Arabidopsis thaliana: one gene and its partner. The protein of the gene in region 2 purifies or fractionates together with the protein of the main gene of each other region. This does not show direct contact. Each region holds a gene or a part of one and is shown on either strand. Other genes may lie near its edges.

Evidence for each region.
Region 1: the proteins of ABCF4 (region 2) and AT4G39520 fractionate together in Arabidopsis thaliana (co-fractionation; one large-scale study listed by BioGRID). This does not show direct contact.

Annotation. Positions count from the first base shown.
Region 1 is NC_003075.7:18,370,128-18,376,203, forward strand, and holds AT4G39520 (GTP-binding protein-like protein), read right to left. Parts: upstream 4,113-6,076; 5' UTR 3,874-4,112; coding exon 3,832-3,873; intron 3,681-3,831; coding exon 3,627-3,680; intron 3,233-3,626; coding exon 3,056-3,232; intron 2,799-3,055; coding exon 2,727-2,798; intron 2,425-2,726; coding exon 2,365-2,424; intron 2,288-2,364; coding exon 2,178-2,287; intron 2,086-2,177; coding exon 1,786-2,085; intron 1,703-1,785; coding exon 1,511-1,702; intron 1,411-1,510; coding exon 1,359-1,410; intron 1,253-1,358; coding exon 1,202-1,252; 3' UTR 738-1,201; downstream 1-737. Other genes in the region: CYP96A12 (cytochrome P450, family 96, subfamily A, polypeptide 12), read right to left, coding at 1-344; AT4G39530 (Tetratricopeptide repeat (TPR)-like superfamily protein), read right to left, coding at 4,609-6,076. UniProt on the Arabidopsis thaliana protein: Binds GDP and GTP, and has low GTPase activity in vitro.
Region 2 is NC_003074.8:20,187,672-20,193,578, reverse strand, and holds ABCF4 (general control non-repressible 4), read right to left. Parts: upstream 3,786-5,907; 5' UTR 3,687-3,785; intron 3,199-3,686; 5' UTR 3,187-3,198; coding exon 1,015-3,186; 3' UTR 639-1,014; downstream 1-638.

The DNA of each region.
Region 1 (6,076 bases), on a different chromosome or scaffold from region 2:
ATCATTTCTCCAAAAACATCAAAGACTTCTTTAAAGTCGGCACCTTTGGTATAGTTGGAGAAGTTTGAGCTCAATATGTAGTGAATATTAGCTGGATCAACTGTGAACAACATATCCATTTCAGCGAACCACGGTCCCTTAAATAGAAAGGTTAAGTGGCTCATTTCAAGAGCCTCCACGCCGAAGTTGTAGATGCGGTGGAGAACCATCAGGAAGCCTGGAAGCATCCCAATAACTGGCCAGTTTCGAAAAACCTGACCATGAGGTTTCTTGAAGTACATGTAATAGAAGAAGAAAAGGCAAATGATGGCTATGGCAACGTCAAGTAAGCTTACAGAAGCCATATGAGAGAGTTAGGAGCTTGGTTTACAGACACAATATGGTGGTGGTTCCTTTTGTGTGTTGAAGGAACTTGTTTATATAGAGTAAGATTATTACATATATAAATTAGCAACCAACAAAAAGAAAATTTATTAAAAAAGAAAGAAATTACCAATGCATTCATTCAACTGCTTTTCATATCTTAAGAATTAAGATTAGTGAAAGTGTTAAGCTGGTGAAGCTACTAACCACACAAATGGATGAGACAGAATTGGTGGAGGACTTGTAAAGAAGGGTCCATAATCTTACAATTTCAGACACTAAATGACAAACCAACTTTAAGAGGATAGACAAATCGAGAAGTGCATCAGAATTCACGGTCCCAGACACTGCAACGAAGGTCGTTGTAATAGTTTTCCAAATCTATTAATGTCATTAAATTTAATCAACAGTCCAAGTAACAACTAACTGTCAGAAATAATAACACCTCGACCTGGTCAGTGCAATGAAGGCCGTTTTAACAGTTTTTCTTTATTACATGAAGAAAAACTGAATCATATGTTTAGTAAATAAAATCCAAAAAAGTCTAGTTGCATACATAAAAACAAGGGAGGAGAAAATCTAGGCAAACCCATACTGGAGATAATAGGAGGTGTTCCGACAACATCAATCACATGCTTAATAGTATTATTGGAAGAAGACAAAAGTATCTAATAAGACATAAAAAAGGGTGTAGACACAGATTTCGTCTGGATATAATAATACAATTACAAAAGAAAGATAAAGCTGAGAAACCAAAAGAAATCCTGACCTTCCTATAGGAGATCTCATTATGGCTACTTTGGTTGGTCTCTTGACTGCTCTCCATTATCTGCAAAAATCATATCTTTTTAACGATCTGAACAACATCCTCGTCCTCAAGCTCGTGTTCCTGAAGTATAAAATACGATGTCGAGACAGCAATAGTTAGTTAGTCAGGGATATTGCAATATCGATTTACCAGATTAACTTTTGTTTGATTTGCTAGAAGAACTAACCTTTCCAACTCTTTGTGGCTTGTGTTTGGCACTTGAACCCCAAACCAGAGCGCTGTATCAGGAGATCATTAGTTAAGTATTCATGAGCGATGCTTTTGAGCAAGAACCATATAACAGAGAAAAGAAAAATGTTAAGGATTTTAATTACTTACTACTTGAATTGTTTAAGCATGTCTTTGTGAATCCGGATGCAGAAGTCCTCTACTGTTCTCTTCTTGGATGATAAGATTACGGGATCATCATAATCCGGATTCATTGCCTTTGGTTTTGTGTAGATTCGAGTTAGATCCAAGTATTCCCATATCTTGTCCAGAAGTCCATCAAGATTCCACTCCAGATGCGCACTGCAAGATAAATAAATTTATATCTTAATGGCAAAAGTAAACAAGTTTATCGCAAATCCTGCCGGTAATTTAACAACATTTACCTGACAGGACAGTAATGAGGAAGTTTGTCCAAAATTTCAAGTTCCTCAAGTGTGATTGAATCGATCTTGTTGACAGCATAGATACAGGGCATATAAATCCGACTGCCCTCGATGACATCAATGAGGTCATCAGCGGTTGCATCGTAGCGCAGGGTGATGTCAGCATTGTGCATCCTGTACTCACCGCAAATCGCCTTGACGGTGTCAAGGTCAAGGTGTGTGACAGCGACTGTAGAAGTTAGATTGATACCACCTTTGTCTTTTTTCCTAAATGTTAAATTTGGTGGCTCCTTGTTCAACCTACATAGCAACAGTCCATGATCGAGTCAGACTATCTACCAGAAACGATCAAATATACAGTGTATAAAGGTTGTTATATAAACAATCTATACCTTATTCCGAATCCTTCGAGCTCTTTTTCAATGAGACGCTTGTGAGTAATTGGTTTTATGGCATCAAGAACTATTAAGATGCAGTTGCATGTCCTAGCCGTACTTATAACCTGGAAATAGTAAAGTGTGAAAGATGATCAAAGAGGGTCAAAATATAAAATACTCAAGAGATTTAGACTCGACTTACCTGTCTTCCTCTACCTTTTCCATCTTTAGCACCCTCAATAATACCAGGAAGATCTAATAACTGCAAACACATAGAAGGGGACATAAAAAAGAGTATTAGCATCAGTGTCCAATGAATAATTACAGGTCGTTTCCTGACTTAAACTAAGTACCAAGAAGTCATTAAAAGATCAAGCAAGATACATGTTTAATATAGAAGTAAGACTCGAGAAAAGATAATTACAAGCTAGGACATGGCATATGTAGCCAAGGATTTCATTGTGTTTCAACAATTACCAAGACAGAGGAAACACTATCCAAGAATTATCATTTTTCCCCCACAAATAACAGATTAACACAGACGCATAGATGTAGATACCATACCTGGATTTTAGCTCCACGATATGTGATAACACCAGGAATGCATGTCAAAGTCGTGAACTCATAAGAAGCAACCTGAGAAAACATTGTGTATCACAGTATGTACCTTCAGAAAATTGAGTATCAGCCAAAATACAGTTCTAATTCCAAGATTTATGTTCATCTATCCAGGAAAAGACTAGCGCCGAACAGTCTTGCCTTATAAGTGATATTGCACAGGAAGTTGGTCAAAAAGTAACTAGAAATAGGATGCCATGGATACGTGGTAGGTTTCAAAATTCCAATTACAACAAGAGAAAGGAAGTTCAATATTCGTAACGATAACTACAAACCTCGGAAAATGTCCCAGTCAGCTTGTTTAATAGCGTAGATTTTCCAACCGAAGGAAATCCGACCAGTCCAACTCTAGAATCTCCACTTTTAGTCACATCAAAACCTTCTCCAGCACCACCACCGCCACCTTTGGTAGGCGGTGCAAGAAGGTCCCTCCGAAGCTTAGCAAGCTTGGCCTGCAAAATGGACCAGTGAAATATGACGAGAAGCTAATGGTGCAGGAATAAGTACCAAATTCTAAAATCAATACAGAATAATATATAATGCCTGCCTAGTAGTTGTTTGATCCAAGGAACTTCACAAGAGATCATGCCGTAAATAAAATATCTCAGCTTTGTGCTTATTCAATGATTTGGGAGTTCGTATAAAACATAAACGATTTCAACCAGAAGTTAAAATATTTCTTAATGAGCTTGCTTACTGGTTGGGATTTCATGATAGCTTTTATCAAGTATCAAAACAGATATAAACCAATCAACCAAATTTGCATTTGATAAGCAAAAACACCTCAACCAATCAACCTCACTCTCAAAGCTACAAAAAACGACCTAAAGAGGAGAAAAAATGTACCTTTAACAAACCCAGATGATGAGAAGTAGCTTTATTCTTCTGTGTTTTAGCCATCTGCCACATAAACAAAAAAAACCTCGTACTTGTGAGTCACCCAGATTGAAAAATCATTTCTTTGATTCAGAATAGATATTTCGGATTCACAGTTCTATGCATCCAAAATTGAAGAGAAGAGGTGAAGAATCAGAGAGGATTGAATAATTACCTCATCTTCAATTTCTTTGATCTTCTGCATAATAGTCGACATGGTTGCAGTCAAAGCACAGAGAGCTCACGGAGACAACGTCAAGGAAAAGAGGTTATACGCGAGTGAAAGGAAGAAGGACACCGGAATCTCTGATGCAGAGAAATTGACGACGACGGACGAGACAGAAGCAGAGGAATCCCGAGGGTTTTCGTTTCGTCCACCTGATTACGACAAAGGAGAAAAAACTAGAACAGAACTGTCTAGAATTCGGCCTGACCCAACAACATTTTAGGCCCATATATGTCCGATTTGGTTTTCCGGTTTAATAAAATTTACAACAGAATGAGAATTTAGTTTGGTTATATACAATAAACCCTGTTCTGAATTTTTGTTTTGTTTTGTTTTGAATTGGTGTTTTTCGGTTTTAGTTGATTTCAAAAACGGTTTAACTAAATTCAAATGAATCATGTACAACATACCATTCATGCATTCACCATTACAACTTCTCTCTCAACCCGGTTTTAGGAGATGATGAGAAGAAACTGAGAACTGAACCGGGGTTAATTTTTGAGTCTTCCTTCGGATTTGAACGGAACAGAATCGATTTTCCCTTGATTACAAAACTTAATAGCAACATCTTTGCTCTCCTGAGCTAGCTACCCCTTCAGCTTCTCGATATTAACCATGGCTTATTCTTTCTTCTTTGGCTCGCTTTTAAGCTTCATCTGCTGCATTGGTCTTTAACCAAATAGAGTCCATCACTCCAATAGAAAATGAGTTCTTGTATGGTAGTTATTAACTAACTCCTCTGATCTGCACAAGTAAGTCGTCTAACACTTCATAAATTTGATTAGCCTTGCAGTGAGATTTATCCTTAGACAAAAATATATGAACCTCCTTATTAATCCCAATCCAACTACGTCCAGGTTCTTTCACCACACCTTCAACCTTCATTCTTTCTCTCACCTTCTTAGCTTCAGTCCACATACCCTTGGACGCGTAAATATTAGAAAGCATAGTAAACGATCCACTGTCCTTGGGATCAGACAAAATAGCCATTTCAGCAGCATGTTCAGCTAACTCGACGTTACCGGCCTTTGCGCATCCACTCAGCAAGCTCCTCCATACTATAGCAGCTGGTTTTGTCGGCATTTTCTCAATTAACTCCCTTGCTTTGTTCAATCTACCAGCACGGCCTAAAAGAGATACCATACAAACATAGTGCTCAGTTTCAGGTTCAATTCCAAATCGAAGCATTAACTCAAATTGCTTAAGTCCATCTTCTACAAGACCAGCATGGCTACACGCTGATAGAACTCCAACAAAGGTGATGTAGTTAGGCTCTATTCCCTCACTCATCATTTTTTCAAGCATCTGAAGAGCCTTTTTGCCTTCTCCATGATTCGCATAAGATGAGATGACAGAATTCCAACAAACTACATCTCTTGAAGCTGCTGAATCAAAAGCCTTATGAGCGTCTTCGGGACTACCACATTTGGCGTACATATCTAGTAGAGCATTTGTAATATACGGATTACATTCCAAGCCTCTTTTCAGAAGCTGGCAATGGAACTCTTGACCCAATTGAACACTTGCTAGGTTGCCAGCTGCTGTAACCATGTTGGCAAACGTGAATTCGTCAGGTCTTTCTCTTGATAACTGTAATTCCAGAAACAGGTTGAGAGCTTCTTCGTTCTCTGATTGTTGAACATAACCTGCAAACATAGAATTCCAGATAACAAGATCTTTCACTTTCATTTCATCAAACACAAGCCTGGAATCCTTGAGGCAGTAGCAATTTGAGTAAACATCAATCAAAGCGCTTCCAGCAAATATATCTAAGTTTAACCCATATTTGAACATCAATCCATGGATTTGTTTACTCAGTCCCAAGCTTGTTAAAGAAGCAGATGCACGTAGAAGGCTAACAAAAGTCAATAGGCTAGGTCGAATCAATCTGAACCTCATGTCACGAAAGATGTTCAATGCTTCATGTAGTTCCCATTGTGTCCCAAGTCTCGAGTAACCTTCAATCATTGCATTGAATAAAACCACATCAGCAGCAGCGAAAATATCAAAAACTTTTCTGGCATCGGTCAAACAGTCACATTTCGCATACATGTCAATCAAGCTGTTAGTCACATAGCTATCATTGCCAAGATTGGCTTTGATAGTGTAAGCATGAACTTGTGTTCCAAATCCCAAAGCATGAAGTGAGGCACAAGATGTGAGTATGCTAGAGCAAGCATACATATCCGGCTTT
Region 2 (5,907 bases):
CTTTTGATTGTTTTTTGTTGTAAGGGTATGATTTTAAGGATCATGATCATATCCTCTTTGTTGTTTTTAAGATTTCTTCTGATCCCTTGTAGAAGAAACCAATCTTTCTTTTGAGTTTGTTTATTTTTATTGCATTTTTGCTTTCATTTAAATTGACTTCAAAATAATTATAAAAAGATTAACGACAGCCACAAAAATAGAGACCAATCAGAGAAAAGCACGAAACAGAGTGTGCTAAAAACAGAGAAAGCGAAAAAGATAAGCCATTTAGACAAATTTCTTCTAACAATGTATATCAAGGTTACGAAATCAAGGATATCACACTGCTGAAAATGCATCTTCTGACTCTAAACCATACACAAACTCTGACTCATTGATTTATCATGTTCAAAACGACCTGAGCTCTGTGAAAGATTTGATGGCTGATCTAGGTGACCCTATGGCTAAGAATAGAGCACGAAAGAACTAAGTAATCCCTGAAATTCCTAATTTCGTGAAGTCCAGAAAATCAACACGAAATCTCTACCCGTTCAGCTCAATTTCTGAATCTCAAGCTTACTTTAAGATTAGAACCCTAAATCAATCATATGATACTCACTATCTTAATCAAAATAAACACAAAGGAAGAGGCATGGTAAACACAATCAACCAAAGAAAGCCAAAACTACCAAAAGAGAGAGAAAGAGCCAAAAATAATAAACGAGAGAAACTAAGCAAAATTTCAGACAGCTAAAAATATAAAGAAGCATTTGCTGGTTATTATGGCTCTAATGGAAACACACTGTTGAAAAAGAATTGCACATGTCTTTTGTTTTCTTCCCCCAAAACACAACACCCTACACTCAGAACATATGTAATATGGAGAAACTGATGTATATAGTGTCATATATGATGTAATTAACGCACAAATGATGAAAGAACACGATTGCTAAAAATAAAATTGTCCAAAACTTTTTGAGTTTGTTATAAAACATAAAGGAGTTTGAGTTTACCTTAGAAGCTAACAACAAAACTTCACTCATCAACTTCTGCTTTGATTTCTCTTTGGAGATCTTCTTTGTACTCTTCAAATGTGCCTGGGAAGAAATTCACTGTTCCGTCTTCTACAACCCAAATTTGACTCTTCTCCTCTTCCGCACATACACGTGATATGAGTCTCGAGTCGTGACTCACCAACACAACTCCACCTGTGAACTCATCTAGTGCATCCGCCAAGGCATCTATACTCTGCATGTCTAAGTGATTTGTAGGCTCGTCCAGAAGCAAAATGTGTGGTTTTGACATTGAGATCGAGGTGAACACAACCCTAGCCTTTTGTCCTCCAGACAATTTCGCAATTGGAGATAAGTGATTGTGACTTGGTAGCCCAAACTTGCCTAGCTTCGCTCGCACTGCCTCTTGCTTGCTAAATCCCTCTTGGTCAGGATGAAGACGAAGGAGATACTGAACCGGTGTTTCCCCCATTGTTAAAAGGTCAACAAAATGCTGAGAATACCTGCCAATCCTCAGCTTCTGGCTTCTTCTCATTTCACCCTCTGTTGGAACTAAATCTCCCGCAAGAAGATTTAATAGAGTGGACTTTCCTGCTCCGTTAGGCCCAACTATCGCAACCCGTGTCCCCATATCGATACCTACATCAACATTCGAGAGTCTGAAATCTGGCCTGTTGGGATAGCTGAAGCTAACCTCAATTAACTGCAGAAGAGGAGGAGTGAGCTCAGTTGGTTCTGGGAAGTGGAACACCACACTGTAATCTCTCCACTTCCTTGGAGCTTCTGGTGCTGGGCCTTCTTCATCCACTGTCTTGCCCTTTGACTTACTCTTGGATGCTTCTTTTGCAGCAGTAAACTTGGCCCTGTCCTTTACCTTCTCCTGTTGACCCCGGTTTCCAGTCCTCTTCGCTGCTTTCATCTGTTTGTCGTAGACATCAAATTTTTTGTTCATCTCCTTGCGACGCTGCTCATATCCGCTTTCAAAACCATCGAAATTACCACGGTAGAAGTGGAGATTTTGGTCATGGAGATGTATTATCTCCGTGCAGACTGTGTTGAGGAAGTCCCGGTCATGTGAAACAACAACTAGTGTCTTCTTCCAGCGACACAAATACTCCTCTAACCATAGAACAGCTCTCAGGTCAAGATGGTTAGTGGGTTCATCTAACAGCAAAAGGGTAGGTTGCACGAACAGAGCTCTAGCTAATGATATTCGCATCCTCCAGCCACCACTGAAGGACTGAGTCGCACGCACTTGCATATCTTTTGTGAAACCTAACCCCGCAAGAATTTTGGATGCCTGTGCTTCAGCAGCATCTGACCCTAAAATCTGCAGCCTGTCATACAGTTCAGCAAGCTTTTCTCCAGTATCATCATCATCCTCACCATCAACATTTTCTCCATCAGCTCCAGAAGACGACTTCTGCAGAGCTTCAGCCTCTTCCCGTAGCTTAACCAACTCTTCATTGGCAGAGACAACTGCATTCAGAGCACTCTTTTCATCACCAACCACCTCTTGCTCAACAAGAAGAACATCAATATTCTTTGGCACTGGAATCTTCCTCCAAGCTAAAAGCTTTAACAGTGTAGACTTTCCCATTCCGTTTGGCCCGATCAACCCATACCTTTTACCATGTGAAATCCTGACAGAAGCATTCTTCAAAAGCTCTTTACCTCGAGCAGATACAGAAAAAGATTCTATGGTAATATCCTTAACATTTGCATCAGCCATGTCGTCTCCTTCAAGCACTGAGGTCTTGCTTCCAATAACAACCGTGAATGCATCATGATCGTCCTTCATAGCCTCCCTCTTTGCCGACTCTGCAGCCTGAAGAGCTAATCTTTCTTTCGCCTCTCGCTTCTTTTGTTCCTTATCAGTCACAGATATCTCAAGGTGCCTTTGTTCACTCTTCAGCTTCCTCCTTGCTTCCTTCTGTCTCTCTTCCTCATCAGATTCACCGTCGTCTTCTTCATCAGAAGGAGGAAGATCTATGCCATCAGTGTAAGATGTAGATTTCGGAGCAGCCTTGGTTCTAGATGATGAGCCCTTCTTCGGTTTATCATCTTTCTGATCCATGCCTGCAAGCATAGCCGAGACTGACAATTTCTCTTTTTTAGAATCTTTCGAAGCATCTTTCCCACTTGGCTTCACCTTTGTGGTAGCAGCACTCTCGTCTGACTTCTTCTTACCCATTTAAAACTGTACCTGACATGAAACATCAATAAACAGCCAATAAGTTATCAAACGAATAATCATATATTATCTAGCAAGCTAATTCGAAAACTACCAAACTCAGGCCTCTGGTACTGGTAACAGAGCTCCAGAATTAGGGTTTTTCTACTTGACAATGGTGACAAAAAGCTCAAGCTCAAAACTTTATTGAAACCCAGTAAATAATTATTCATATAAACAAATCTGATGCATTCTCAAATCAATTTCGATTCTTTACCATCTAATCCGTTTCAAAAGAGGATAAATCAAAGAATTAGGATTTATTAGCAAATTAATAGACGAACCCTAAGAGGAATTCACTTTTCATAAAAGCACAACTATAAGCAAATGAAAACCTAAAACTGTTAAACGAGAGATATCGATCCGAATCTGATTAAAAAAAACAGAGGGAACTTCAATTCGGTACATATCTAAAACGAAATTCACCACAAGAATATCAAAGAGAAGAATATGAAACTCACCTAGTGAGAGAGATTGCGTAGATGAACGAGAGCGATAGAGAAAACGAACAAACGACGAAACGAAAAAAAAAAGGGGATTGAAGCAGACGGAGAGAAGAGAATCGCTTAGTTATTACTCAACTCCTTTCTAGTGTCTTATTGGGCCTCATTATGGGCTTATTACAGCTGAAATATTTGGGCCTTTTCTCTAATTTCCAAATTGAAGTAAAGCATTCAACTTATGAAAATAGTTAACATCATTTATTCTTGACATATATCATAATTCTGTTAATTAATTCAAAATCAAGGGTTCTATACACACATAGGTATGATCGAAATCCGAATTAATCAAATCATCCAAACAATAATAACATGCGCCACGAGGTTCCCTACCTCAGATATTCAGTATATGTTCTAAGTCATTCAATGAACAACATCAAGGTTCTTCTCCCTCAGATATTCGATATTTGTTTTAAGTCCTGTCTAGAGATGTTGTGGTGGGTAAAAAAGCCCAGCCCGACCTGAACCCAAAATAAATCCGCCCACCAAAAACCCAACTTTACAAAACCCAGATGGGTTTTTGATTTAGTGGGTAAAGCCCGAAAAAACCTGATTGTTCTGAGACTACCCGTGGGTACCCAACTTGGTTTTTGTCATTTTCTTAGAGTTTATTTTAACTGCTAATATACTATTATATGTATGTTGTATCTATAATTTGCTTATAAATATATTTTAAATTATATTTATTTTCTGTATTACATATATATTTGATGGGAAAAAGGTTGAATTGTGTTTTTAGCGGAAAAATGTTGAATCGCGTTTTTGGCGGAAAAATGTTGAATTGCGTTTTTGACCGGAAAATGTGAAATCCTTTTTGGCGGGAAAATGTTGAATGCCGTTTTTGGCGGGAAAATGTTAAATTGCGTTTTTAGCGGGAAAAGTGAAATTATTTTTGGTGGAAAATGTTGAATCGCGTTTTTGGCGGAAAAATGTTGAATTGCGTTTTGGCGGGAAAATATTGAATGTCGTTTTTGGCGGGAAAATGTTGAATTGCGTTTTGGCGGGAAAATATTGAATGTCGTTTTTGGCGGGAAAATGTTGAATTGCGTTTTGGCGGGAAAATGTTGATTGTCGTTTTTGGCGGAAAAATGTTGAATGTCTTTTTTAGCGGGAAAATATTGAATGTCTTTTTTGGCGGTAAATGTTAAATCGCGGTTTTGACGGAAAAATGTGAAATCTTTTTTGACGAGAAAATGTTGATTCACCTGAAAAAGGACTGAAAAAAACCCGTGGGTACCCATTACCCAATGAGGTAAACCCATATGGGTTTTATTTATTTGGGTACCCAGCCCATTTTAAACCTATGTTTTTTTTTCCAGAAAAAATAGATCTATGGGCTTAAAATTTTATGTGGGTTTTGGGTACCGAGTGGGTTTTAACCCATCATTAACATTTCTAGTCCTTTCAATGGGATTTAGAGTTTTTTTGGTTCTTGTGAATGCATCATATGTATTTATGTATTACTCATTAGGCCAAACGAGGCTGGAATTTGAGATGAAATCTTACCAAGAAATGGTTGTTAAGTAGCTGAGGCAGATCTCTGAGACCAATCAACAGCTGATCTGGTTACAGAACAAGATCACACAATACTGAAAGAGTATGGCTCTATGGAAATTATGAGTGAGAATCTGCGTAAAACTGCAGAGCATAATCGTGAGACCGAGAACAAAGATTCAACATGAACAGAACAGAGAAGAGGTAAGTTATTTCCGGAAAAAAAAAACATACAAACTTGACATTCTGTATTACCTAGATACCTACTGATACACATATTCAAAAATAAAACACAGAGTTTTCTAAGAATCAATCAAGCAGATACAGGATAAAAGAGGAGGGGAATTTGAGGCTTTGCAGCAGCAAGAACGTGCTAAGGTTGTTGAGCAGCCTATATGACTATTAGTCGCCATTGTAGTAAGTAAGACTGATCTAAGGAAGCATTACTCTTAACTTAATGTGACCACAACCTGTTCGTGACAATCTGTTAGATTGAAGACTTGTCAAAATCCCAATCATTCACATTTCATTGTTTAATCACAATAAGCTCTAATTATCATGACAAACATTTCTTTGTATTTTATGCCTCAAGTAGATGATAATATATAGAAGAGACAGATGGTCAAACTATAATTAATAACCAAAAAGAAAGAATACACAAAAGAAGATTCTTTTGGAGACGAGCCAT